Linked DNA regions of Drosophila melanogaster. The protein of the gene in region 1 interacts with the protein of each later gene in a pairwise test. Each region holds a gene or a part of one and is shown in the gene's direction. Other genes may lie near its edges.

What was found. The genes of interacting proteins can lie anywhere in the genome.
Region 2: the proteins of Mf (region 1) and CG30324 interact in a two-hybrid assay, tested with the Drosophila melanogaster proteins (one large-scale study listed by BioGRID).
Region 3: the proteins of Mf (region 1) and CG5674 interact in a two-hybrid assay, tested with the Drosophila melanogaster proteins (one large-scale study listed by BioGRID).

The regions. Positions count from the first base shown.
Region 1 is NT_033777.3:15,176,765-15,182,722, reverse strand, and holds the start of Mf (myofilin), read left to right. Parts: upstream 1-2,452; 5' UTR 2,453-2,515; intron 2,516-3,372; exon of another isoform or gene 3,373-3,401; intron 3,402-3,542; 5' UTR 3,543-3,593; coding exon 3,594-3,684; intron 3,685-4,233; coding exon 4,234-4,443; coding exon of another isoform or gene 4,444-4,502; exon of another isoform or gene 4,503-5,958.
Region 2 is NT_033778.4:16,287,086-16,290,533, reverse strand, and holds CG30324 (uncharacterized protein), read left to right. Parts: upstream 1-2,300; 5' UTR 2,301-2,393; coding exon 2,394-2,888; 3' UTR 2,889-2,948; downstream 2,949-3,448. Other genes in the region: JhI-26 (juvenile hormone-inducible protein 26), read right to left, coding at 1-582, 926-1,162; CG30099 (uncharacterized protein), read left to right, coding at 1,610-2,263; CG9068 (uncharacterized protein), read right to left, coding at 3,084-3,448.
Region 3 is NT_033779.5:17,961,217-17,966,378, forward strand, and holds the start of CG5674 (uncharacterized protein), read left to right. Parts: upstream 1-2,162; 5' UTR 2,163-2,329; coding exon 2,330-2,389; intron 2,390-2,927; coding exon of another isoform or gene 2,928-3,233; intron 3,234-3,292; coding exon of another isoform or gene 3,293-4,671; intron 4,672-4,732; coding exon of another isoform or gene 4,733-5,162. Other genes in the region: btv (beethoven), read right to left, coding at 1,519-1,800, 2,928-3,233, 3,293-4,671, 4,733-5,162.

The DNA.
Region 1 (5,958 bases):
ATATATCCACGCGAATACATCGAGTACACATATTTATTTTTATATTTCAAGCAGAATTCATTTGAAGGTGTCTGCTATATGTTAAGGTTAAACAGCGTTATATATAGACTCGGCCAAACTATGTATTAGTGCCACATAATGTGTGTATTTTTATTCAAATTGTATGATAGACAGGCGAAGAGTGGGAAAAAGCTTTTCAACTGAGGCATTAGAAGCCATTAAGCTCTATTTATGAGTCCCCAGGTGATGCAAGTTGAAAAAATGAACTCTAAAATGGACGAGAAAAGGATTTCATTTTTTTTATACGGGAAATCTTATTTAAAAAATAGAGCATACAAAATACTATGCATTCGGTATAAGGAAAGAAATTGCTCAAATGTATTTATTTTCGCTTATTTGCTATGACTCAAAGTGGTATTTATATTAATTATATTTTGTAGCTTTTCTGAGCTGCTGAGCCACAGCAAATTGCGCATACGCATCGTTGACATTGTAGTATCGCTATAATTTGTTTTTCGTTTCATTTCATTTCACTTGCGAAAACTATAATCGTCCTTCACATTGAGAAAGCAATTTATTACACACCAAGTGCGAAAGTAATAATATGTATATAATTTATATGCATTCACAGTGCATTTGACTTTCTGACAGCTAAATGTCTGCTCTCCTCATCTGAAATTAAATGCAGTTTGCAATTAATTTGGGTATAAACTGCGATATAAAATATGGCGAATTTGCGAAAGCAAATTGTTTGACGTTGCTTGCATATGTGCCCTCTAAATAATGAGCTTACATTTTGACCCCATTTCCCAAGGGACATAAATTTCTCTAAGATAATTATTTTGTAAGCCGCTAGGCCAATTAAAATATTTTTAAAATAACTAAATTTTATTTGAGATTCCTTTTAAGGGTATGCAATTCCTAGCCAATTTTTGTGTCTCCTTGAGCAAAACATCAAAGATGTTGGAACAAACACAATCAAGCGCCAATAAACTAAAATAAATTAAAATGAAAAACCTGAAAAAAAAACGAAAGTAAAATAAAAAGTTGCTCAATTCATTGTTCTGTGAAGCCAAAAAAGTGTGCCAGAAAGTAAAAGTTGAATCACATCACCGAAATCACTGATTGGCCGAAAGAAAAACCTTTGCCAGGTATTTCCCAATTTCCCGTGAGTTTTTGTGCATTTTCATTTGATTTTCGATTTGGTTCATCAAACCGCATTCGGTTCATTCAAAGTCAAGTTCAAGTTTAAATGACGCCGCCCGCCTGTTTAAGGGTAAAATTCACAAACAAGATTTATATAAGCTAAACAAACAAAGTCAAAAGAACATTTGGATGCAAGTGCATTTGGCCTTGAGTTTATCGGCGGAAAAAGAAAACACATGCAGGAAATTCTGTAAGCGATCTGCACGATTGAAAAGGTCAACATGATCTCCATGAATGTATTTACTATTATTAGAAACATATGTACTCCCAGATCTGCCCTTCAACTCGTTTCGATGTAATTGTATATGATGGGGGAAGCTTTACCCATCTTTGTTTATTCGTTTTCGTAGGAATTTCCCTGGAAAATTTGTGTTTAGATTATCAATCATTGGGTCGCACGTGAGCAAAAAAGATATACCCTACAGGAGGGTATAATCGAAAAAAATGAGTTACTAATGTTTTAAATAATCAATTAACGGCAAATTTTACATAACAAGCTAGAAAATATCAAACTATTCATACAGATTTCATTATAAATAATATATTGTGTGCTTAAAGTATCTATTATTTGGTTAAATGTATCTGGACCAGTTTTGTTTATTTACCTGTGTGGGCATGTTGCTGGAAATGATTTTTCCATTATCAGGAAACTAAATTATAGCTAATGCCAAAGCCAAAAGAAAACATAAACAAATAAACGGAATTTAAATGCTTTTATGGCAAAAATTCCATCGGCCTCTAACCACATTTTGAATTAGTTAGTTACAAAAAACCAAATATTGTAATGTATTAGTTAGAGCTTATAGTTCACTGATCAATTCAATACCACAAGTGACGCCTTTCCCTTGAAACATTCAAAGAATATGTTAAAATTATGAAAAACCATAGGAAAAACAAAAACAGAAAATAGGGTGTGGGATTTTCTGAAAGAAATATGGGCTCATATGTATTGTGTATGTGTGGTATGACTTGGCTGGCTTTCTTTTTATGATCATCGCCAGCGTCATCGCGATTTCGGTATTGAATCGTTGCAAACAATGAGTGGGTGCCACCACACGATCTATCAGAATGTGGTGGGAAAGCTTTCCCATAACCAATCTCCGGAGCTTTGCCACACAGATGCGATGAAAATCGCTCACGGATAGAGCAACCTACGCCGTAAAGGAATGCGCCGTGCTTTTGGTGCCGAAACGGAATGGCAAAATTCTGAAACGAGGAAAATTGGTGAGGCGAATTTTCTTGGGGTTTGCAGTTTGAAAAAATTCTTCGTTGAGGATAGATCGCTATTTTTTAGGAGTAAATTTAAATTGTAAGCGAACCCGAAACATATTAAACAACATACAACTGAATAGTAAATTAAATAATTATAAACGAAATGAAAAACAATAAAATCAAATTAAATAAAGTGCACCATCACATCTGAATGTGGAGACGAACAATTAACTGGTGAAATAATTATGGAATTATGATCGCATTATGAATGATCCGATATGTTCCATAGCGAAAAGACATTGACTATAATTATATAAGAGAGATCGTACTCAATGACATTTGATACCGAAGTGTTGGAGCTCATCAAGAGTTTGTGCAGTGAAATATAAAAAACAAAAATCCCACATTGAATTAAATTCAAAATTAATTTAGTTTAATGGATAATAAAGGCCTATTTTAAACATACTTCAACTAAATTGTTCTTAGACTTTGCACACTTCTTCGATACTTAAGTAAATTCCGCTAAAAGCCAGAATAACAGAACGATTTCAACTCAAGGACATTTAAAAATAAAACCCAATTTAGCTGCAGCTTACACACAGATACACTTACATCCACTCACCCATTTACACGCACACACTGACGACACCTAGAATATTTGTTCTCATACTCAGAAGTGTGAAATTTGCTATGCAACAAAAAAATATTTTTATATTCGAGCAACCAGGAGAATACCACGATACATGAAAAATCACAAAAACCGAACCGAAATATATTTATTTTTAGTGAGATTGATCTTGCGTTAGCTGCTGTTGCCCGATCGCGGTATTATATTAGATTTTATGTATATGTTTTATAAACTTTGCACTGCTCTAAAGTGGCACACAGTCTGTTTATTTTCGAACCGAGAGACTTTCAACGCGAAAGCAAAAAATTCAACTGAGAAAACATCCCATCAATCGAGAGACAAGCGATTCGAATTCGTGCGTGCTGCCTGGCATTTCCCGGGAAATAGATTAAATTGAAAACGGACAAAAAAAAAAAATAAAATAAAATAGGCGGAAAGGAAATTTGAAACACATTGGAAAATTGCTAAGCCATCTCTCTTCCCAACTTTATTACAGCGAACGAGTTCAACGATTTTTTCGTGAACAGAACAAAACAAATCGATCAAAATGTTCAAAAACCACTTGGAAATGATTGGGCGCAATGAGAGCCCCAGCAAGAAGGCGAAATTCTGGCAGTCCTACATCAGGTCCCTGAAGGGTAAGCATTCACTAAATAAGCTCAAAAATTACATTAAAAGATAGGATAGTTATTCAAAACTACTATTGATTGCTTAGTCACAATAGTAGGGAGTTTGCATAGTTCCAAAATAATTCAAAAAACAATTGAAGATTAACTCGAAGTGTTCCCATTTCGATATGATTAAGGGACACTCAAAAGTGATATTATTAAACTCTGGTCGCCAGTGAGCAACACAAATAGCTTAGCCTATATGTGTATAGTCTATTTATTTTGGCAGGTGTCATATCAGCCAAGCTATATACTTAGACACGCTCTGCTGGGAAAGCTTTTCGCCATAGTATATTCGAATATATAGAGAGAAATTTGTAAAATATATATGCTCAGGCCTTAAACAAAGAATAGGCTAAAATATAGGATACACATACAGGGGGCGCATCTATGATAGAAACCGAATAGAAATCATACATTTCTGCAGCGCTGGCATTGAGCCAAATAGTGAGAATAGAATAGCCGAAATATTTGAAAAGCAATGAACTAACGCGTCGTTATCCAAACAACTATTTATAGGCTCCGAGGATATCCGTGCCCACGAGGCGCCCCGTGCCTCTCGTCCCTACAGCTCCTACCTGGACTCGCCCTCCTACAGGAGCATCTATGACGAGCCCGCCACCGCCAATGAGCGCGTCCAGTCCTCTGGCTACAGATATCTGCCAGTGAGCCGCGACACCTACGGCTACTCGCCCCGTGCCATCTACGATCATCACTACAGCCGAACAAGTAAGTTGGTACCATATACGGACCACATACTGTACTATCTACAGCCGATTCCCGCCTAACTGCTTCACACAGCCGAGTATCTGTATCTTAATGCTTCCGAAATCGGTGGCCTTGCAAATGTGGATATTGAACTAAGATATCCTGTTATTACCATTTAAAGTATATTTCAAATAATATAGATAAATGATTATGATTGTTTACATAACAAATTATCCGCCATGAAACTAAAAGATATTTTTAACATTCTTGAAACTGGAATAGTAACATAGATGAAATTCAGGTTCAAAAGTTTATGTCAATGCTTTCAATCTAGTTTTTTAGAAAAAAACGTTTAAAATTTTAATTAAAATTTAAAATTAAAAAAGGCAATCACCTGATTGTTATTTGCAAGGTTACATAAGCTTCGGTCCATCCGAACGCCACAAGTTCTTTCAGCCTTTCTGCTTCGCTTCGATGCGCCATCCATCAATCAGTCAGTCAGTCAGTCAATCAGTCAGTCAATCAGTCGAGTCATTACAATCATCTTACAACTGCAATCTCGCCACTGCCTGCTATTGAAGCTTTTGACAACACCTTGAATATCTCAAAACCGCCATATTTTTATGCGTTTCATTTGAGATGAAAACTGGTGCGAGCGCTATGATTTCATAAATTTAAAAATAAAAATGGACAGCGCCAAACGGCCAAATACAATTACGTCAATGAAAATTTTCGTTTCGTATCGTTTCGTTTCGCCTCGGTCGTGTTGATTTTGGCAAAAGGCCTCAAAAATGAACAAAAAAAATAAAAAAAATGAAGACAATAATATAGGCAACACACACAGGCGCTATATATCAAGTCAGGTATATAAGCGGAATTTTTGACTCAATTTTTTTTTTCGGTGCGTGCTCTGGGATCAAATGACTGTGGCGGCCCTCGGTGCGCGGAAACCGAAGTTCTCTTTTCCGATTTTCCGAATTTCCACACACTCACACACTGGCAAAAGCCCCAAGCACCCAAATCCGAACACCCAGCCCCCTGAAGTCCGCCCATTTCACCTTCAACCTGGTACCCCGTTTGCCTAAATTATTTAGTTTTCTTTTCGCTTTTTTTTGGACTAACCAATTGTTTTTTTCTTTTTCTCTCTCTTTCATAAATGTTTCAGAATATACATAAATGTGTGTCGTCAAGATAAATACACATATGTATCCGAGCGATATACATATGTAGTATATATATAAATTTTCTTGATATTTTATGCGCACTCTCTCGATATATATTTATATATATATTTGTTGTTCTCTCTAGGCAAAAGACAACTTAAATTTAGTGAACAGGATTTTGTGTGTAGTTTTTAGTTAAAATATTGAAATTAGAAAGCAAATTATTGAGTAGCCAGTATATACATCTGTATATAAATATATGTATGTGTTTTGTGTGTGAAATAAAATCTGTAAACAACATGCTGTTGCTTTTCTGTGGTGTTGCATCCATCCATCCAGACCATCCGATCAACCAGACCATCCATCAAGGGCC
Region 2 (3,448 bases), on another chromosome or scaffold:
GTACGCCACATTATTCCTCACATAATCGCCGTGGCACAGGGTGGCCAGTGGCTCCCTGGGCGCCACCCGTTGCCTACCGTATTGCGAATAGTCCGAGATCATGAAACAGAACTTCTTAACAAACTCCTCGTCGATCTGTGGCTGATAGGTGGCCACCGCCTTGGCCGCTCGATCGATGCTCGTTTTCATGGTGAGCTTCCATTCCGGATGAATGTTATCGTTGGCATAGCGAGATTCCTTCAGATTGTCAGTCAGCTGGGCAAACTTTTCCGGGTTCTTGTGCTTCATGGCGTACGCAAAGCCATGGAACCTTCCCAGGTAACTCACGGCAATCATGGCGTGCTGCAGACTCAGACCCACACGATCCTTGGTGACCCGCCATCCCTGCTCCGCGAAATTCTCCAGAATGGCCACAGCCGAATGCTGGTTCAACTCGCCGTAATAGTACTTGGGTGCGGCAAACTTGCCATCGGTGAACTTCTGAAACTCTGGCAGAATTTCCGTATAGAAATTTATCTCGTTGGTAAAAAGGGGCCCAAACTGTATGGATTCATACATTTCTGGTGGCATAGCAGGTGTTTTCTACAAAAAAAAAAAAAAACAATTAATTATTGGTATTCTGGGGTCATTGCATGCCAAAGTAAACTTCATCATTAGATGTGATTTATTTTGAATTCAAAATCAATTCGCTTTGTTCTTTTGTTGAGATGCCTCCCTCTATTTCACAATGTTTGCCATAAAACCCACACTCTCACTAAGCTATCTGAGTTTGCTGGAAAACAAAACTGGTAAGTAGTACGCAGTTAAGGCACTTATATAATATAATTTAAATTCCGCGAGTATAGTAAATCTTTTCGTTGTGTTTTTAGATATCCAGATAGATTGTTTAAGATTTATTTATACTATGTGAATGGAATAAACCTACCTTAACCACCATTTTTCGCTGAAACTTTTGCCCGTCGTATTCAAAATTAATGGTTGTCCGGTAGCAAAAAGTTAGCATAAAGGCCTCCGAGTGGCCAATTACATCAATGTCGATGTCCCCCACATGGAATGTGGTCACCTTGGACTCGCTGTAGTTGTCCACCAGGCGCCCGTTCCTCAGAATTGACGGAAGAACCGTGTATCTCAGCCATTGCCTCTCAGCCTCGATCTTCTCCATTTCGTCGGTACTGACGATCCCAACCGCTTCGCTTGTGGATAGCGAATGAGCATAAACCATTTCATATAGCTCATTTTGTACTACTCTCCAAAAGCTCATTCGTTGTTAGAGATTACACGATAAGAGCGAATTGGAAATGAAAAGCTTTCTAATCATTAAAAGCACTTTATGGTTTATAGAGAAGCAGTACCTACCTAATGATTAGCATGATGCAATTTGGCATGTTAAAATGATATGATAAGATATCATGACGCAAAGATAGGGGGATACGCTATTTATTAGTTTTAATTAGTTTTTTTTTTTTGTTTATTGTGTGCAAAGTTTAATGATTCCTTTGGATTAAGTTCTATTTTCCATAATCACAGGTATCGATATATTTTTAGTCAAAATTTCCAGTTTTAGAAAAAGCTATCCTACCGTTGCAGTTCGACTATCGACCAACTACCAATGGGCCTCAACTGGTATTTACTCAAAACGACCGGGTCAATGACCAGGGCCAACACCTACGTTCGAAAGTTCACGAATGGATCGCAGCAAAGTCGAGATATCAGCATGCCATCCAAAGTGCCAAAGAGGACAAGTGCTTCGATCAGGATCACGGATTTGGATAACATGTCATATATGTCCTCTTCTTCGCGAAAAGGCAAAATAACGAGCGGCCGACACGATCAGTTGAAAATGTCGAAGAATGCTCAACACGACGATGTCGTCTGTCCAATGCAAGCGAGTAGGAAGCCCATCGAGGAGCCCACTGTTCGGGATTCGCCACAAATGCGCGAGTTCTTCGAGGAAGTGCGTCAGCGAAAGCTCAAGGATTACTATCTTCAGATGAAGGCTGCACAAAGAAATCCAGCGATGTCCCATGTGTGTCCGGATTGTGGTTTTGTGAAGCGGGATAAGAAGGATCTCAGCAAAAACATTTACTGCACGGGGGATAAACGATTGAGGATAAAAGATTGTGATCGGCATGGGGATCTCACCTGGCTGTGGAACTCCTCCGCTGCATATCCTCACTCTGCACTTAGTTGTGGATGCAGCAGAGGTGTCTCCAGCCACTTGGAAACTTTAATCAAGCTGCACAATATAAAATGTTTAATTTAAAATTTGTAATTTTTGATATCTAGTTGCCAAGGAGTTTGCTGATAATACATCTGTTTTTCTCCGATATTTAGTTTCATTCTGCAATCCAAATCGTTCGTACCTTTCCGATTTGAACCCCACTCTTTCCACAATGTTTTCCGATCCCGCCCAGGAGTCGGTTGCCACGCAGACGGAGGCACAACCGGTTCCGTCGCCCATCTGCACCCCACTGCTGATGGTGGACGAGGATGGACGAAAGCGGTACTGCTACCATGGTGGAAAATGCAAGTGTGCCACTTGCGCACAAATTCGTGCAGAGCAGGCAGTGAAACTCGACCAGGAGCTGCTGTCCTACATACCGCACTCGAAGCTCCACCTGGAAGTTCCAATCCGAATGGCCAAGCCGAAGCAGTATCGCCTGGAAGCTCGACGGGCTACTCCCGAACTGGCAAAATTTCTGCGGGAGGATCACGAGAGGCTGAGGGCGGAGTATCCATCGTACTATCTCCCGGATCGATACTTTGGTAAGAAATTCTACGAGTTGCCAGGACCGCAGCACAAGGAGACCCAGACGGACATTCCGATTGGGCGTTACGGCATCGATGGTTGTCCCTGTACCAATAAATCGCTCTGCTATGACTTGTAATCCTGGGCAGGACTCAATTGGGGAAAAAAGAGTTTAATAAAAGTTCGGAATGTGAGAAGTATTTGCATGTTTTTCAATAAATCACTATAGTTAATTTCCCCGACTATCACATACCCATTACTCAGCTAGTAGGTGTGCAAATTAAATTTAATGTAAATAAATTGATTATCACTTATGATAATAGTTATGATACTCCTATTTCTTGGGTAATTTGGAATAGAAATCCTCCAGGAAATCCTTTAATATCAACTTGAACTTTTCGCCGTGCTTGGCCAATAGCAACTTGGCCTCACTGTCCTCATTGTCCAGCATCTCATCCGCTTCCTCCAGCACCTGAAGGTAATGCAGCCAAGCCGTTTCCAATCCCATAACCTGCTCAAATGTTTCCTCGCTAAGCTTCACCTGGTATTTGTGCAGCAGAACGAAGAGTTCCAGCATCGGAGTAAATGCGGACTGCTTCACTGGCACATCCTTCAGGAGTTTTTCAAAGAGCTGTTTGGCAGCCACCGTTTCACGGATGGTACGAGGAACCTTCATCACATTACGCTCGTTGCGTCGCA
Region 3 (5,162 bases), on another chromosome or scaffold:
ATGGCAGATGTGGGGACATATTCGTGTGTATGTACCAGGAAATGGGCGGCAAACACATGCAGATGTCACATTAGCCTTATACTTTAATTAATTTCTAATCCCAGCTCATTGAAGGCGGCTGCAATTAGATGGCGACGCCGTTGCTTGTAGGCTGGCAAGGATTACAAGGATGTGGCCGCTTGGCCCCGACATTTGTCAAACACTAAACACTGAAGAAGCCAAAGGAGGATATCAATTTGTGCATTTGAGTGTAAAGTACGGATTCGCCTGCCCATCAACTGCAAATTAGACATTCAAAATTTAATCGGCAATGCAAGTTTTTGGGGATTTTGGGGCGGGCACATAATTAAGCTGCAACTTTGTGGGGATTATTCAATGCGAATTGGAATCAACCAAAACCACAAGCTTTTAACATTAAATGCGATGAACTATTTGGTTAAGTTGGTAATCCAGCATTGCGGCGGGTGAAATAGTTTAAGGGCCTCATTAATGTGGTTGCGGCTTGGGAATATTTTGGAAATTGATCTTTATGTAGCCTAAATGCATAAGAAGGAGGTCTTTAAACTGTTCTTCCTTGTAGCTAATTGGATTTGAAGTTCGGAGCGGAGTTTATGTATCTTTTGATATACACATTCACTTTATATCCTTACTCAATTACCTTTTCAGCCTTATCGCGCTGCCTAATTCCTTAATCCGCAACTAAATTTCCATTTGAAGCGTAATAAATTATTTATTCTCAATAGCCGACAGCACAACAAGTTGGGAAAGGCGTACAACAAAATCTGAGAAGTCTGCATAGCTAAATTTGCAAAATGTGTTAACAAACTGCCACGCCCACCGATACGAGGCACTGTGATTTGTGCGGAGGGCAATTTATATGCCACAGAAGCCGGCTGCCACGCCCCCTTCTCGGTACCGGGAGGCACTTTACACTCAAATTGTGTTAATTTGCATATTGGAAACTTTTGCCTAATTGAACATAATGCCACTTAATTAAAGTTAAGACAAGTTTTTGACGGTAAAATGGTTTTGGGCCTGGGGGATGTCGGGGATGTCTTGGCAACTAAAAGTATGCCCGACATTTATGGCAGTTTGTTGTTGAAATTTACGGCAATTAGTTTAATATGAGCAGATTATGAGGGACACAGGACGCAATAAAATCCCTTCGGCGGTGGCAAATTAATTTTTAGGGGCATCCCCGAATAAACACAGACACTGAGACATATGGAAATCAATTAGCTCTTCAGAGTCTAAGTCCTCGCCTTAAATGTTTAATGGCCCATTTTTATGTTTGCCTTTGGCTGCCTAATTGTTAGTTGTTTAAATATTTACTTAGAATTAGTTGGGACCCAAATGACAGCGTGTCAAGGGTAGGAAACTAATGTTAAAAGAGTTTCGTTTGGTTTTTATTTAATATTTGCGAAGGTGAATTGCTATTCAAGTGTCAGTCCAACACATTCTTCGCTTCTCTACATATATATTTGAAATATATTGGTATAAAATAATATTGAGTGGTGTTTAATAATCTTCGACTATTAGCGCTGTTCCGGCCAAGAGAATTTGTTCCGCAGTTCCGGTCACAATATCAACATTTAGGTGGCAAATCAATTTGTCGCGACTGCTCCGAGAATATAATGGGAGTTTGGGCTTCGATTCAGCATTTTGCGTGGAATATAGCGAATTTTTGCCGTATTTTGAGGAACTAGTAGTCGTATGACTGACATTTTGTACTTCGTCTTTTATTTTGTACTTGATGTAGAAGGGGTTCGATTTTCCCATTCCACTCTGGGCGCCATCAATCTGTAATGGAAAATGAATAGTGCCAAGTTTAGTTACTAATGAAATACTTAGATATATTCCACATTACATATATTCACAATTGCTAAAAACAAAAAAAAAGGCGAAAAGCGGGTAGATGATTTGCAAAGTTTATTCTCCAAGTCCTAAAATGTATATACAAAAAAATAGTTATTTGTTTTTTTACAGTGTTAGTTCTAGCAGGTACACCCATCAGGGCATAGCGGATGCACTCCCCATAGTCAGCTTCCAAACCGATTATCGATTGGCATCGAATACGTAGATATACAAACGAGAAGGGAAAGTAAAATGTAAGTTTGTGCTCAGAACTGCTTATCGATAGGCATCGGACAAGGTGCCATCTCTAATTCCCCCTCTTGTACCGGAATGTCAATCAAATGAAAACAAAAAAAGCGGCGTGAGAAAACTGAAAAGAACGGGCATCCAGTGCACATTTCAAGCTTAATTTCGATGCATTGAACGGCGGCGGCGCACCGAAAACAGGAGGCGCAGGATTACGGATACGGAAGCTATGGAAACGGCCAGAATGGAGACGGCGATGGAGACACATTTTATGGCCAAAATGGGGAAGGTGAGGAACAAAGACAAGAAGCAAACGGGCAAGAGGGAGAGAAGATGTCATCAGTCTTCGTCCCAAAAGATAAATAAGTATCTTTTGGGATTTTGGATTGGGGGAATCAATTTGGACTATGGATGTATGCATATCTACTATCCAGGTAATCCGTAACAGAGTATTGTTACTGTTACTACTACTACGTGTGCATCCAATTGTATCTGATATAGCAACCTGGCAAAATGTATCCCAAAATTATTTCTCAATGTTTATTGTATTTACTGTAACGCTTCTCGAGGGCTTATGATATTTAATGGTTATCCCCAACTTAACCAATGCGCCATCTACCGCGAATATTATAGTTATGGCAATTTCTTGGCTGATTATCCTGCGATTAGTTAAATTTCCTTTTATGGCTTCGAAATATATTCTTAGTCGCTAAAGAAGAAGACATAGAAGACATAACCCCTTGAATCATGAGTAAGTGGCTTGCTGAATTTGATTTCACAACTTGATGTCAAAACATTATCGGTTAAAGATACTAATTCTTACTCACCTTTAGCGGCGCCAGCTTGAGTATTATGTCCGAAGAATCACTTTCCAAGTTTGAGGAGCCGCAAGTTTGCAACTCCAGGCGTTCGGTGGAAACTGCCAGTTTTCGAGACTGCAGCAGCTTTAAACAGGACAACAGGTTCTCACAGTTAAACACCTGGACGAAATTGATATCCTCTACAAAATCCAGATGCATTTGCTCCCGGAATCGAAGTTCGGCAGCCTGGGCTCGAACGATTAGGGCTCTTAAAAAGTCCACGGCACTGTTGCTGCCAGGTCCAGGCCATAGTTTAAGCCAACTGGCAGGAATCTATGAATTTCAGTTTATTATGCATTTTCAAGTTACGTTACTGTACCCCAGTTTCTTACCTGCTGTTCTGCCAGAGTTCTCAGAGTGCTGCCATCCACCTCCTGCGACTCCTTAAGCCAGGCATGCATCTGCGACAAAGTCTGGTGAACTATGCCGTAGAGATCCGCCCCTAGTTTCAGTTCAGCCAGCACAAAAAGTGCCCAGGGAGATTCACCCACATCAGTTTTTGCCTCCTTCATAGTCTGGATTATGGTACACGAAGCCGCCAACTTTCTCCATAGATTCAGTAGGGGTTTAATTTGCTGTTCCAGCTTCTGACGACCAGTGAGCTGATCGTTTCCCTTAGACTCTCCTGCTCCTCCAGAATCCTTAGCCAAGCCTCTTCCGTAATGCAATCCCCTGAGTTCCTTTATCACTCTTTTGGCCTGTTCAATTTCGCGTTGCTGTTGTGCCTGATTGGCCAAACCATACATACTGGGCTCATCTGTGTCAGGAAGTTTCTCCAATGCAGCGTAGTAGTCCTGCAGTTGACCGCTAGTTGGTATGGATAGAGATAATCCAAGAGGTGACCAACGATTGCTTAAGACGTCCGCTGAACAAAACTGGTTCAGATAGGTTGTGAGTATCTCCAGATCCCTCTGATTATTTACTCTTCCGCCATAAGCGAGGGCTTCACTGAGACGTTGCATCAGCAACCAATCGCATTTTCCTGAATTAAGTTGCTGATCCATCATTCTTAGGATACCCAGAGCCGCTTTTAGATCTGCCTCACCGAATTCATAGTATTTTGACCAACCTTGTGGTATAAACTGTCGCCTTTGTTGAAGCACAGCTGTTAGGACAAAATAAACCAGTCTCATCTTGAGGCTCTTTGGTTGGTTTTTAAGCTTTTGATCCTGTTCAGCAGCGAAGTTCTGGAGCAAACGCATCACAATCTGCTTTAGTCCCTTAGGCTGCTCATAACGTACTTTAAGGCATTTATAAATGGCAGCTTCGGAAAATCCCTCGGTTGATTCGCACAATAGCCACAATCGAAAGTCTTTCGATTTTTGAATTTCACTTAATTCCCTTTCCATTTGAGTTAGAAATTCCGGCACCAAATGGACATTCTTAACGCATAACCAGTGGCCATCTATGGCAGCCTGACGCATTTCGGAGAGAACTCTTTTCTCAACACCTTTTCCAATAGCCATTTCTCTATACTTTTGATTGGCCCACTTTCTCAATTCAGTTGTTGGATCATTTTCCGCATGACTAACCATCAAAATCGGGCGATCACAGCTGCTCTGCTGCAGCAACTGCTCCACAGAAGGTTGGGTGGAGGCATCTGGGGAAATTCCCAGCAGATCGCTACTCACTTTTCGCAGTTGGTGAAGCATCAAGTCGGGTCGGAAAATCTGAGCAATAAGCACACGCTGGAAGCTGGACCCCAACGCAGCTGTAAGTTCGAAAATAAATCTGAATAAGATGAAATTAACTAAATTATTTCTACAACTTACGTAGCACATCATCCGCTTGAGCCTCAATGAATCCGCGCCAGATATAGTCCTTCTCCAACTGGAGCTTGCTTCGCAAATCTGGGAACAATTGGAGTAACATAGCCAGCTTTAATTGCGCTTCCTTGGGCATGCAGTCGGGCAGTTTTCCAAGCTGACTTAGCACCATACTGCCATCAGAACTACCCATGAAATTGTTCACAAACAGCTCCCACTCCTTGGGGTTTAATCTATCGGGATATGCCTGATGACAAACCCACAAGGATAAGGATAGCTGGCTATCTCTAGAAGTAGCTCTAGCTAAATTCATATAAACACTTCGTACAAGACAATCATAGACCTTGGACTCATCTCGTTGACTTTTGGAAAGAGCCCCCAAAAATAGTTCAATGTAAACAAGAGGGGATAATTCATAGCCCTGGATGAGGCCTGC